Linked DNA regions of Saccharomyces cerevisiae S288C. Changing the gene in region 2 together with the main gene of any one other region gives a genetic interaction. Each region holds a gene or a part of one and is shown on either strand. Other genes may lie near its edges.

The links. Genes that interact genetically often act in the same process or in processes that back each other up.
Region 1: mutations in CMR1 (region 2) and RPS0B impair growth when combined (synthetic growth defect), as found in Saccharomyces cerevisiae (2 studies listed by BioGRID, with this or other methods).

The regions. Positions count from the first base shown.
Region 1 is NC_001144.5:240,370-245,304, forward strand, and holds RPS0B (40S ribosomal protein uS2 RPS0B), read left to right. Parts: upstream 1-1,862; coding exon 1,863-1,952; intron 1,953-2,311; coding exon 2,312-2,980; downstream 2,981-4,935. Other genes in the region: FRE8 (putative ferric-chelate reductase), read right to left, coding at 1-1,038; MLO50 (Mlo50p), read right to left, coding at 3,517-4,803.
Region 2 is NC_001136.10:172,329-179,500, reverse strand, and holds CMR1 (Cmr1p), read right to left. Parts: upstream 4,584-7,172; coding exon 3,015-4,583; downstream 1-3,014. Other genes in the region: MutS family protein MSH5, read right to left, coding at 1-1,167; B-type cyclin CLB3, read right to left, coding at 1,445-2,728; DMO2 (Dmo2p), read left to right, coding at 4,913-5,269; mitogen-activated protein kinase kinase STE7, read right to left, coding at 5,473-7,020. UniProt on the Saccharomyces cerevisiae protein: DNA-binding protein that binds to both single- and double-stranded DNA. Binds preferentially to UV-damaged DNA in vitro. May be involved in DNA-metabolic processes.

The DNA of each region.
Region 1 (4,935 bases), on a different chromosome or scaffold from region 2:
TGTACGCAATGGAAAATGCCCGTTTCTAATAATTAACCTGACCAAATTATCACTTGGAATACTAGCAATAGTAAAAGGATGTTGGAAGGGTATCAAATGGGAGAAAAACCTCCTTAAAAAATTTCTATGGTAAATGTTGATCCTTAGATGCCCTCCTGGTAGGATGGGCTTTTTGGGTAAATCGGTTAATGGGAACTCCAAAAGAGACAATGATGAAGAAATGGGTACTATCGTAACTCTCGTAACATTGGTGATATGGAGCCTATAGACGATTTGTCCCGTTAATATGAGCACATTTAAAGTGGTATAATATGAAATTCCTGGGCGAGCGTGATAATGTAGAAACACCAAAATAAGCCATGTGCTTACATAGTGAACATAGTAAAAAACTCTGTAGCTCCATCGTCTGGCATATCTCACAGAGGTGATGGCAATCAGTAGGAAAAGGCCGAGGGCAATAACCCCATAAATGTTGGGTAGTTTTCTCATTTTCACGTATAACGTATCATTAATGTACATGTAATAGAGATAGAACCACGTGTGTAGAATAGATTCAAGCACAACAATTCTGGAAATCCATTTGTGGAGAGGTAACAATGCTAAGTATAACGTGTGAGGTAACGGTGATGGCCTCAACGTTAGAAATAGTAAAGGTGGCATCAAAGCAACGGAAATTCTCCCCATTCGCTTAGTAATTTCTAACAGATCTCCGTTAGCGCCTTGTATAACAAAAAACGAGGTGAAAACAAAGCATATTAAACATAGTTGTAGTGACTGTTTGTGATACATATGTGTTTTGTGAACCCATGATCTTCTGTTGAAAACATGATGCTTTAAATGGTGACATATTTTGAAGAATTTGTCAGTTAGCAACAAATAATTCATTAAGGGTATAATAACACATATTATAATGAAAGAAATTAAAAGACATATCTGAGAATATTTGCGGACTCTTAAAGTTCTAAAATGCTTGTCCACGTCGACATCAAAACTGGGAAGATGTTCCTTGAACCAGCTAACGATGGACTTTAAATTCATGCTGAAAATAACAATAAATAAAATACAGTAAACTTTTTTAGCGGAACTTCTATTGTAATTTAACGATTTAATCTGAAGAGATGTAGATGTAATAAAACTGTTAAAGTGGCAACGTGATAATTAAAAGCTTGGCAAAAATAAGAGATCAACACTAGCTTTTTCTTTTTCCACCTAAATTTGAAGGGAAATAAAAAAGAAATTGAGGCTGTACAGAGTGTTAATCTTCCATAACGGATACCACCAAACGTTTTTACCCTAAACTTAAATTTTATTACTTATTTTACATGCATAATGGCTGCCATGCGTAGTTCATACATGTTATTTGCACCCTTTTTCTTTTTCAATAACAAAAAAGAGCTTGGGCATTACGTTTTCAACACTTTTAATATTTCCCTTTTTACATCCGTACATATAAAATGTAAACCCATGCATTCATGACAATTTTACCTATTTCTTAAAGGCCTTTGTCACTTCTTTATGGGAATGGCGCTACTTTAATTTTCCGCCTACTTTGAAAAATTTACCAAGGCGAAATTGAGTGCGCTAGGCGGAAGTTCCAGGGCACGGTCACCGAACCTTTGTGCTGTTTCGAACGAGGGTCCCGCTGGAGGTTGACGGACGCGGGAGGAGCTGGAAAGATGGAATGGAAGGACTGCAACACTCAGTAAGAAGGTTCGTGGTAGGGAACATCACCTTCTCTAGTTCCTGTAAAAATAATATGATCAAGTTTGAATCCTCGTATTGAAAAATCGCGAGTTATTAAGTGTGTAATTTAGAATACCGAAATAGCACAAGAAGAGATAAGATAAGATACTGATAGGATAATGTCTTTACCAGCTACTTTTGATTTGACTCCAGAGGATGCCCAACTTTTGTTGGCCGCTAACACCCATTTAGGTGCTAGAAACGTTCAAGTATGTACACATATCCCATACGATTATGTTCTATAGATGATAATAGGTCTCGAAAAGAATATGTCCCCGATTTAATCATATTTGGAGGTCAGAGGACCAAAGGTAATTTCAGAGGAATTTTGAACACGCCGGGTTTAGAAGAGTTAGAATTTCACTTCTTAGTGAGGGTAAGGAGAAGAAACTCAATAAGAATATACATCCTCGACTGTGTCAAAGATTATGAACTCCGATGAAACAGTAAAACGTCAAAAAATTCCACGGGATATAATTCGGTACTTTATTGGATATGGAAGAAAACATTATATATGCACAAATGAACGCTCTTACTAACATAATTTATCTTTCCTCTCTTTTTTTAGGTCCACCAAGAACCATACGTTTTCAATGCTAGACCAGATGGTGTTCACGTTATCAATGTTGGTAAGACCTGGGAAAAGTTGGTTTTGGCTGCTAGAATTATTGCTGCCATTCCAAACCCAGAAGATGTTGTTGCCATCTCTTCCAGAACCTACGGTCAAAGAGCTGTCTTGAAATTTGCTGCTCACACTGGTGCTACTCCAATCGCCGGTAGATTCACTCCAGGTTCTTTCACTAATTACATCACCCGTTCTTTCAAGGAACCAAGATTGGTTATTGTTACCGACCCAAGATTAGACGCTCAGGCCATTAAGGAAGCTTCTTACGTTAACATTCCAGTCATTGCTTTGACTGATTTGGACTCCCCATCTGAATTTGTTGATGTCGCCATCCCATGTAACAACAGAGGTAAGCACTCCATCGGTTTAATCTGGTACTTGTTGGCTAGAGAAGTTTTGAGACTAAGAGGTGCTTTGGTCGACAGAACTCAACCATGGTCCATCATGCCAGATTTGTACTTCTACAGAAACCCAGAAGAAGTTGAGCAAGTTGCTGAAGAAGCTGCTGCCGCTGAAGAAGGTGAAGAAGAAGAAGTTAAGGAAGAAGTCACTGAAGGTCAAGCTGAAGCTACTGAATGGGCTGAAGAAAATGCAGACAACGTTGAATGGTAATCATTTGAAAACCTTGCAATGTGTGTGAATATTGTAAGGAATTGAGAAAGAGAGATAAAAAAAGAGACAGAAGTATCACTTCCTTTTCTAATTTTTCTTTTTCATTTTTTTTTTAAATTCATCTATCGTTTATCTTTATCTCATATATATTTGCTTCTCTCTGAAGCGTCATCATCTATCTGTATTTTTAATGCAATCATAGTATAAAAATTTTTAACCAAATTCAAAAATTATAATATTTTAAAAGTTTATGCTTTTGTCCTTTTATATTCAAGTCATTTGGCCATTATTACGCTTTTTTTTTTATTAGGTAAGTGGTTTCAATAATTAAATTCTTTAGCGGGAAGGCTGACTATCTATAGTATTGAAGATAAGTTAAATTAATGTTTAGTTCTGATATTTCATTTTTATTATTAATTAAATTTGCACTATTCGCCATGACGGGTTCACCCGAGTATTTATTTTGCTTTCGTTATACATATATATATATATATATTCTTCCAGGAGAAATACCTGCCTTCTCTCTTACCCCTTGCTCAATCTAAATCAATCCGTGACCTTAAATCTTCTAGCAGAATGACTAAGTCACAATCGATTTTAGAAATTTGAATAACCAGCTCAGAGATATTACTGACAAAAAACTTGTAATGGCACTGTTTTAGCAAGTTTAAGATAAATGTATCCATTAAGAAAGCATTGATTTTATTCGGACCATAATAGGTAGTCACTATTAGAATATCTAAAAGTTCTAGACCAATACCATCTAATTTGTGCTTATTCAATGCGTTGGTCATAAAATTTCTTATTACAGGCTTGATGAAATCCATTATCACATTTAATTTCAACTTGTCCTTTAAATGGTAGTATAAGTTAGGAAAGTCCTGATAGAACTTCCCCTCAGTAACCGTGTAAGAATTCTTGTTGTCCTTATTGTCATCGAAACGACTATTCAACCAGGTAACGTTTTTCGTCAAATTGATGAAAATAGACCGGGATAGAGTTTCCTGCTCTTCGTTGTTACAACATTTCCTTATTGCTAGATACAATGAGTTGTTCGCATACTGACTGAAAAATCCGGCTTCGTCTAGTTCGCTATAGTGATATAAACATCTCTTGTATATTGGAAGACGAAAATCGTTCGGTATCCCAAACCAATATAAGTTATGCTTACTTATCACCAACAGCAGGTCCGTCTCATCGCCAGATGTATGACAACTTCTCAAATTGCTCCAAAACTTTTCCAATTTTAGTTCTCTTCGAAATAAGTTTCTATTTTGAAACTTTAAATTTAAGATGTTCCTCTTTGTTTCCGATTTAATGAGGTTTTGTATGGATGGATCAGTATGAGTGCACAAGGTTTCATCGTTATTATTGGCAATTAATGATAACGATTCTTTTTCACTATTGATTTTCCTTTTATTTTCCTGAATCAAAGAATCTACACTCAAATTTTTTTGTGGTCTAATGACTAATGAAGATGATCCTGATGAGTTCCTGTTGTTGTTTGGAGTAAACAAACCATCAGAAAACACAGAAGACGCAGAAGAAGATGAAGAAGAGTACATCGTTGATCTGTGATTCGGCGAAGGGGCCACAGGACTCCCCTGAGAGTTTGCTCGAGGAATGGCAAAGTTGTCTATTATGGGGACAGCATAACTAATGAGATTAGTATCTTTATCTATTGTTGTGTCCAGAATTGTTGTCCAATCTGTGGTCCCGGAATGTAGGGCCTCTTCTTTCAAATCGTTTCTTGTTATTCTATGCCTGCTATGGAATAGCCGCTGACTGGGTGGTACGTACTCGTGCATGATATTATTAACCATGAGTTGTAGCTGTTTTGTTATATCCAAAGAATTTGGCTAACGTATCCTTGTACGCGTGATTTATTTATATATACGTGCAGCACAATATATATATATATATATATGTATGCGTGCGCTTGGTTATGGCTCAGT
Region 2 (7,172 bases):
ATGTAAAATGTTGGCTTCGTCTGAACCTAATTTCAAGGACGACACCAGTTGAAATATAGCTATTCCTTTTTCTAAAAAACTTGCAACCTTGGACCATGTCCCTAATGTCGATTTACCACTTCTTAACTGATTTATAAACCCAAAAGCGTCTGGACATCTTTTTATTGATTGGCTAAGGTCACTAAAAATGATGGCGTTTTGTTTATCCAATAAGGTTCTTATGATGCTGTATCTTGTTTCTATCCGTTTTTTATTGGTTAATGGGTTAATAAGCCAAGACTTCAAAATTCTCCTGGCGTAGTCCGAAGACACTTGATTGAATAGTTCAAATACACTAAAGAAACCATTTCTCATCATCTTATCATGGCCCAGTTTATGAGCTGTTGGAAAAATATGCAAAGCCGATATAGTATTTTCATCCAGTACCATCCGATCCCTTATGTCGATATACCTTATGCCATGTATCACATCTTCAAAAGCATTCTGAACTAATCGTCCTGTTACCATATTACTTGAAGCAGTACTGTCATTGTATTCACCAAGTTGTTCATGATTTGCAAGGATGCATCCCACTGTACCTAAGGTGACTGTGGTGGTAAATTTGCTATTTGATAATATGTCGTTCAATATAGTCTGATTATCATGACCCCTTAACTGCAATGACTGCAATAAGTCCCATTTTTTGAAACGTTTTATTGGTTGTAGTTCTAGCCTACAGTTTATCTCATCGCATTTTGTCTTAATGTAGTCGAAAATCCAATCCTCCAATCTTGCCGGCACTAGGCATACAGTTGGGTTTGCTTCCATTATTAAAAGTCCAAGTAACAGACTTATGTCGTTTGAAGACATATCTGCATCATCGATAAGATCATGAGACGAAATTGTTGTTTTATTGACCACGTAGTCCTGGTCAAACGCTTTCAAAGTCTTGGTATGATAATCTAAAATAGAACACCCGAGTTTTCCTCCAGAAAAGTCAATACACATTACAATCTCCTCGTCAAAATCGAAGGAGAAAATGGTAGAGCTATCCTCTTCACGATTTGTATCACCTTCGTTAAATTCTCCGTCATTGTTGGCAACGACAGCACCTTTATCCCGCAAACCTTCCCCATTACCAATGCTTCTCATTGTTTCCGATGCGCTTATGAGCCATTCATGGGACATATTCCATTTGGTGGCAGTATATGAATGAGTAAGTTATTTTGAATGAGTTGTTTTGTTAACCTTGATTTTAGCTTCAATTTTTTAATAATTAACCGCCGAGCTAATTTCGCGTCATATCCATATGGATTGTGGATGCTTTAAAAAAAGTACGGAGATTAGTATGTTTTAAGGTTAAAAAGTTACATATGTTTATTACTGATGATTAAAGTTTTTGTGTGCAAAAGACGGTAATGAATCCTTTTTCCTTTGTTGATGCCATGTCTCGAGCTGAGGCTTTTTAGTTAGATCTTTCTACTCTGTGTTCAGCTAATGCTATCCACTTCGCTACGATCTGTGAAGAATGCAAATAACGACGTGAAGAATATTTTCTCCATATGGCGTTATGACGTTTAGAGGCATATCTGCAATTTTCTAAAATAATGGTGGCCAACGGAAGAATTTGTTCTTGTGTATAATTGGAATAGTAGACGTGCGCCAGAGACCACTGATTTTGGCCCAGAATAATCTTACTTAGAAAGTATGCACCGGCAGCTAACCAACTAGGTTGAGCGGAAACCAGTCGATGGTCCATTATTGTGGATTCCAATAGATATTTGGCCAGTGTTCTCGTATCATGCTCGTAATCGTCTGCCTTACTGATTCTTCGTAAAAATGACATCGGACCAGGCCAACCCAATTCAAATTCTAAGCCGTTCAAAATAGTTCTTTCTGCGTCCAGCAGGTCGTTCCTTGAGTAGCAGTTTTCTGACATGTATACGAAATCCTTGATTGTAGGACAGTTGATTTCCTCATATTTAGCAGCAATGAAGAGTGAGGCTGCACCCACAAGTTGGAACTTATTTACAGGAACAACTTCTTTGCACAGATATCTGTCTATTATATTAATGCAGAGATATAGAGTTTCAGGTAAAAGTTGAAATTTTTCATGTACTTGGACGATCCAATCAATCAGTGTGCTTCGAAACGACCATCTTAACTCTGGTTGTTTATCCATGTAGTACGGGTTGGGTTTATACAGGTCTTCCAATTTCCTCATATACTCGAATATCTCATTAGATAATTCGGCAACCATGACCACATCGTACACGTCATCATCATTGGGATCTAATGTAGTTCTATAGTAAGTTCTAAATGCATGCTCCCAGACCAATGTATCACTAGCATAATGTTGCAACAGTAGAGGCTCCTGGTCTTCTTCTTCATCCTCTTCGCTTTCTCCGTCGTCTTCAACGGGTTCCTCTTGTTCCCTGTCCGTTAACAAATCGTTATGATCAGCTTCTTTTCTCTGTGCAACACTATTCGCATCCAGCCTTTCTTCCTCAATTATCGCAGCTGAATCCAATCTTTCTTTAATTGGGGCGACTTTTGGCTTACTTATGCTGTTGTTGCTAGAGTTTGTCGCAACTATATTGGTAACGTCGCTAAGTGCGACCCTCGGGTGCGCAGATGAAATATGACTGAGGGATCCAGTCCTGTGTTTAAGATTACCTATAGGTGCCACATTTTCATCCTCGGGGCTCCTGATGTGTCCAGAGCTCAAAGACTGTGAGTTATGATGCATTTATAATAAGCAATGATAAAAAGGACAAAATATCTCTATGTTTTAAAGCGAAGGACAGAAACAATAAATAGCTTTTTCTCTGCAATTTTCTTTTCTTTTCTTCTAAGCAAGCAGCTAAAAATTTCTGATCGTTTTCTTTCGACCGGATCAAAAATGTTTTTATGTGTCCATGTTCTTGCATTTCAATATTTTTGTTTTCTTTTGTTTTGTTTTGTTCCTTCGCTTGTCGCCTCGTTCTGCTGAAAAGCGGGAGAGAAAAAAGGCAGTGCGGGTAACTGAGATGTTTTCATTCTTCCTGCTTTATGGTTCCGGAGTCATCAGTAAAGAGGAATATTTTGCCGCTAGAATTACCACCTGCAATCCAGTTTCGCAGCGGGTGCCAACTAATTACAGCTGGGACAGTAGCTGTGGGTAGGTGAGCCAGTTGCTGGCCTTCGCTGTTGTATATGTCGATGGCGCGCTTCATGTTAGCTATTGCAAAAACATTCTTGTTCGGCTTGAACCTGGCCTTGAGGATGCTTGTCCATCTTCCTGTTTGGCAATTGTGCTGAATCGTTAGTTTGGGCTCCAACTTCGCAGAAAGGTGATCCCTACTCTTGACATCGAATAAGCGGATGGTATCGTCATAGCCATTGCACACTAAGGTGCCATCTGTCGGTGAGTAAGAAACTGCAGAGACGCTCAATCTTGAGTCATATGTGGAGACAATTTCATGACTGGGATAGTCTTCATATTGTGACCACTCTGGCTTTTTAACAAGGTTTCTTGTATCCCAGATTTTGAGTGTTCTATCAAGTGATCCGGTGGCAATCTCGTAGGGTCTCATGGGATTTATTGCCATAGACCCGATCTTCTTGTCTGCGAGTCTTCGCAGATTATACTCTGATTTTTTTACTCTTGTGTCAAACGTGGTGAATTCACCACCTAATGTGGTGAGGAATAAAACATTTGGGTTTTCGTAGCTAAACTGGCAATCGCTGATACCCAGTGAATCGTCATATTCATTTTTCAAGGTGAGAACCTCTTCACTCTGTAAGTTATTCAAGTGAACTGACCTGATGCTTCCGTCGTAAGAGGTGAGCAATATCTTCGATGTGTCCGCAGGGAAGCAATCAATACGGCCGACGTTTTTGGTAAATAGTTTCACTCTGGTGATATCGGGTTCTTCCATTCGGTCCTCTTCGCTGTCAGCTAGTGGTTCATCTCTAACGTTCCAAAAACCCACAGTACCGCTTGTATCACCTGCAATTATTAGCTTTTTTTCCATAGCAGGATGGAAGTAAGTGGCAGAGATTCTTTCGTATGTAATCTTAATTTCGTTCGGTTGAAAAACGTCATATAGATCCAAATCAAATTCGTCCATCCCCGTAACGTCACCCTGTCTCTTTTTTATTTCTTCAAAGAAATCACCAGAAGAAAAGTTTCCGTTATTAAACCTCTTGAATTTCTCTAAAAGGGCACTTTCGTCTTCATCCTTGATCAGATCACTTAATTTCACATCTCCTATTACAGGTTTCTCCTTTATTGCGTCTATAAAATTCTTATCCTGGCCATCTGGAGAACCCATTTTAAGCAACTGATTATCGTTCACATTGGGTATTCCTTTCACATCGTCTGCAGACTCACCCCTTAGCCTTCTTGATCTTCGTGTAGGTAAAGTGGGACTCGCAGACTTGGTTGCTCTGGTATTAGTTGTTTTTTGTTTCTTTTTTGCAGGAGCTCTAGATTTTTCCAACACCCCAGCCTCGTGCTTAATTTGAGATGCTACTCCAGACAAATGGAGTTTTTTCAATAAATCGTTATTCCTTTTGATGTTCTCTAAACGTTTTTTCTGAAATTCTGTTAATTCCGGCATTCTTGACTGAAAAGCAGCTTTCTTTTAATTGCCGTACTAAAATAGATCGCCTATTGTGTACTATTGACGACAAATGCAAGATTAAAGGGTTTTTATCTTCTCTTTAACAATTGTTCAAATATACATTTACCTCTTTTGGCGTTATTATAATTGTAACATGTCAGAAATTGAACATTAACAAAAAACGCGTAATATGGGGTCCTCGGGTGAAAAATTAACGATGGGCTTTTGAAAAAAGGTACGAGCATATAAAGCGAGTACAGTCATTGTGTGCCACCAAGTAGGAAACAAAACACCGCTTAGAGAGAAACAGCAAGTGGTGAAAAACAATGAGTAATATTTTGGCAGTGTTCAACCCTCCACCACAAAGGGAGCTGGAAAAAGAAGAGACTATGGATTGCGTTCCTTGTCAAGTCATGAGCACTATGTTTTCTGTTGGATTTGGCTCATACTTGGCATCTGGGAAACCATTCAAGTATGGTAAAAAAGAAGCCAAAAGAGGCATTTCTCTGACTGAATTTGAAAAAAGAAACCCACAATGGTGGAAAGTAACTTTACGTAGCTTCGGTGGGTTATTAATCGCCTTCGGTTTCGTTAGAGGAACCGAAGGTTGGTTGTGGCATAAAAATAAAGAATATAAGAACTATAAGAAATTAAGTAACGATGGTGAAACACAGGCTAACTAGTATTATTCGCAAGCTTCTCTCAATCGTGAAATTTTCTGTACATAAAGTGCTACTTTGATGATTATTTTTAAAAATATTGTTACATTAGAAAATTGGTTTGTGATTTACATAATCAGGAGAGTCTATATATATATGAATATAGCTTTGAGAAAGGGATGTGAAAAAAAGTGCAATATGTTCCTAACTAATGTTATCGCATGCATTCAATGGGTTGATCTTTCCGATTGTTTCTTTTCTAACTTGGCACGGTCCAAGGCTTCTCTTTTAATTCTCTTGTCTTCCTTTATTTTAGATTTTATTTTTCTACACCAATGTCTAAATTTATCATCTTTAGACGGTGATACGTATTTCATTATAAGATCATGATGTAGCAATTCATGAATCGATGACCTTTCCCTTTCATTCTTAATACAACACCTATTGACAAAATCTGTCATTTCCTTGGAATAGATACGGTCTTTGGGTAATCTTGGTGAAGGCTCGTTGACAATACGTTGCAGCAAATCCAATATGCCATCAGGTGTATCGTTATGCCCACCTAGGGGAAACTCTCCAGTTACCAGCTCGATGATCATTAAGCCCAATGACCAAACGTCCCCTTTGATAGAATAAACGTTTCCTTGTATCCTCTCTGGTGACATATAAGTGGACGTTCCAACAAATGTATCAGCGATAGAATTTATTAGTTTTTTGGAAACTCCAAAATCACATAACTTAATCTGCCCCTTACTATTAATCAGAACATTGGAAGGCTTGATATCACGATGAATGATCTTATATTGTCGGTACAAATGATCCAAGCCATTTAGTACGCCATACGCTATTTTTGATATTGTTAATTCGTTGAACCAGGTTTTCTTACTCGAAACAGTCCCTCTTTGAACAAACCTTTTATAAACGGACAGTATTTTATCTAAAGAACCACAATCAGAGTATTCCATTAAAATTATGATTTCATTATTTATATGCTGGTTATAATAAGCTCCATAGAAGGTGATAATGTTTTCATGGGGCTTAACGTTTTTGACGATAGATAATTCCCTAACTAATTGGTTGATGATTGTACTGTTATTCTGTTCCACAGGAATGGTTTTTTTGGCAACTATTTTGGAATCAGGAACATGTAGTGCCTTCACCACAGTTCCAGAATTTCCAGCACCAATTTTCCCCAACTGAACCAAGTCCTGGAGTTGTATATAATTACCATTTGAAGTTCCCGACAACGTATCTTTCAGATCTGCTGCGGCTGGCGATAGGCTTTCCTCCAAAGGTGGTAGTGATATCGAATGTTCGTTTTCAACTGGTGTTGCAATATTGGACAATCCCTGAATCGTAGAGGGAGTAGAATTCGTGGATGATGGCGATAATCCGAAATTATTACTGTACGCATCTATAATGCATGGCGTGGACAAAGATGATGATGATGATACACACGGGGATTGTGATAGAGAAGACAGAACTAAAACAGGTTCATTTTGCGGTTGCTGTATTACCACAGTGTTTGGTTTCGATATAGCTTGGTCATCACCAAACGCATCCAACGTCAGTTTTTTTTTTATGCCTCTTCGCAAAAACAGGTTGCTATTATTCTGTATTGCATTAATGTTAGACATCACGTGGCCTTCTATTCGAGATTGTCCCTGGTGAGTCTCTGTCTTTTCCTGCAATTGGCCATTATTGCCCACATCTGGGTGCAGGTTAAGATTGAGCCCTTTCAAGTTCCTTCTCTGTAAAGTCTTTCGTTGAAACATGACCAACAACCAATATACCACGCTGCAAAAACAGATATGATCCGATGCAGTTTTCTTATCATTAGTGTCGCTTCACATTAACCTGTAGGTCTTCTAATCCATCAGATGGGCCAATAATAGTATGATATCGCCGTTACCCCACGAATCACTTA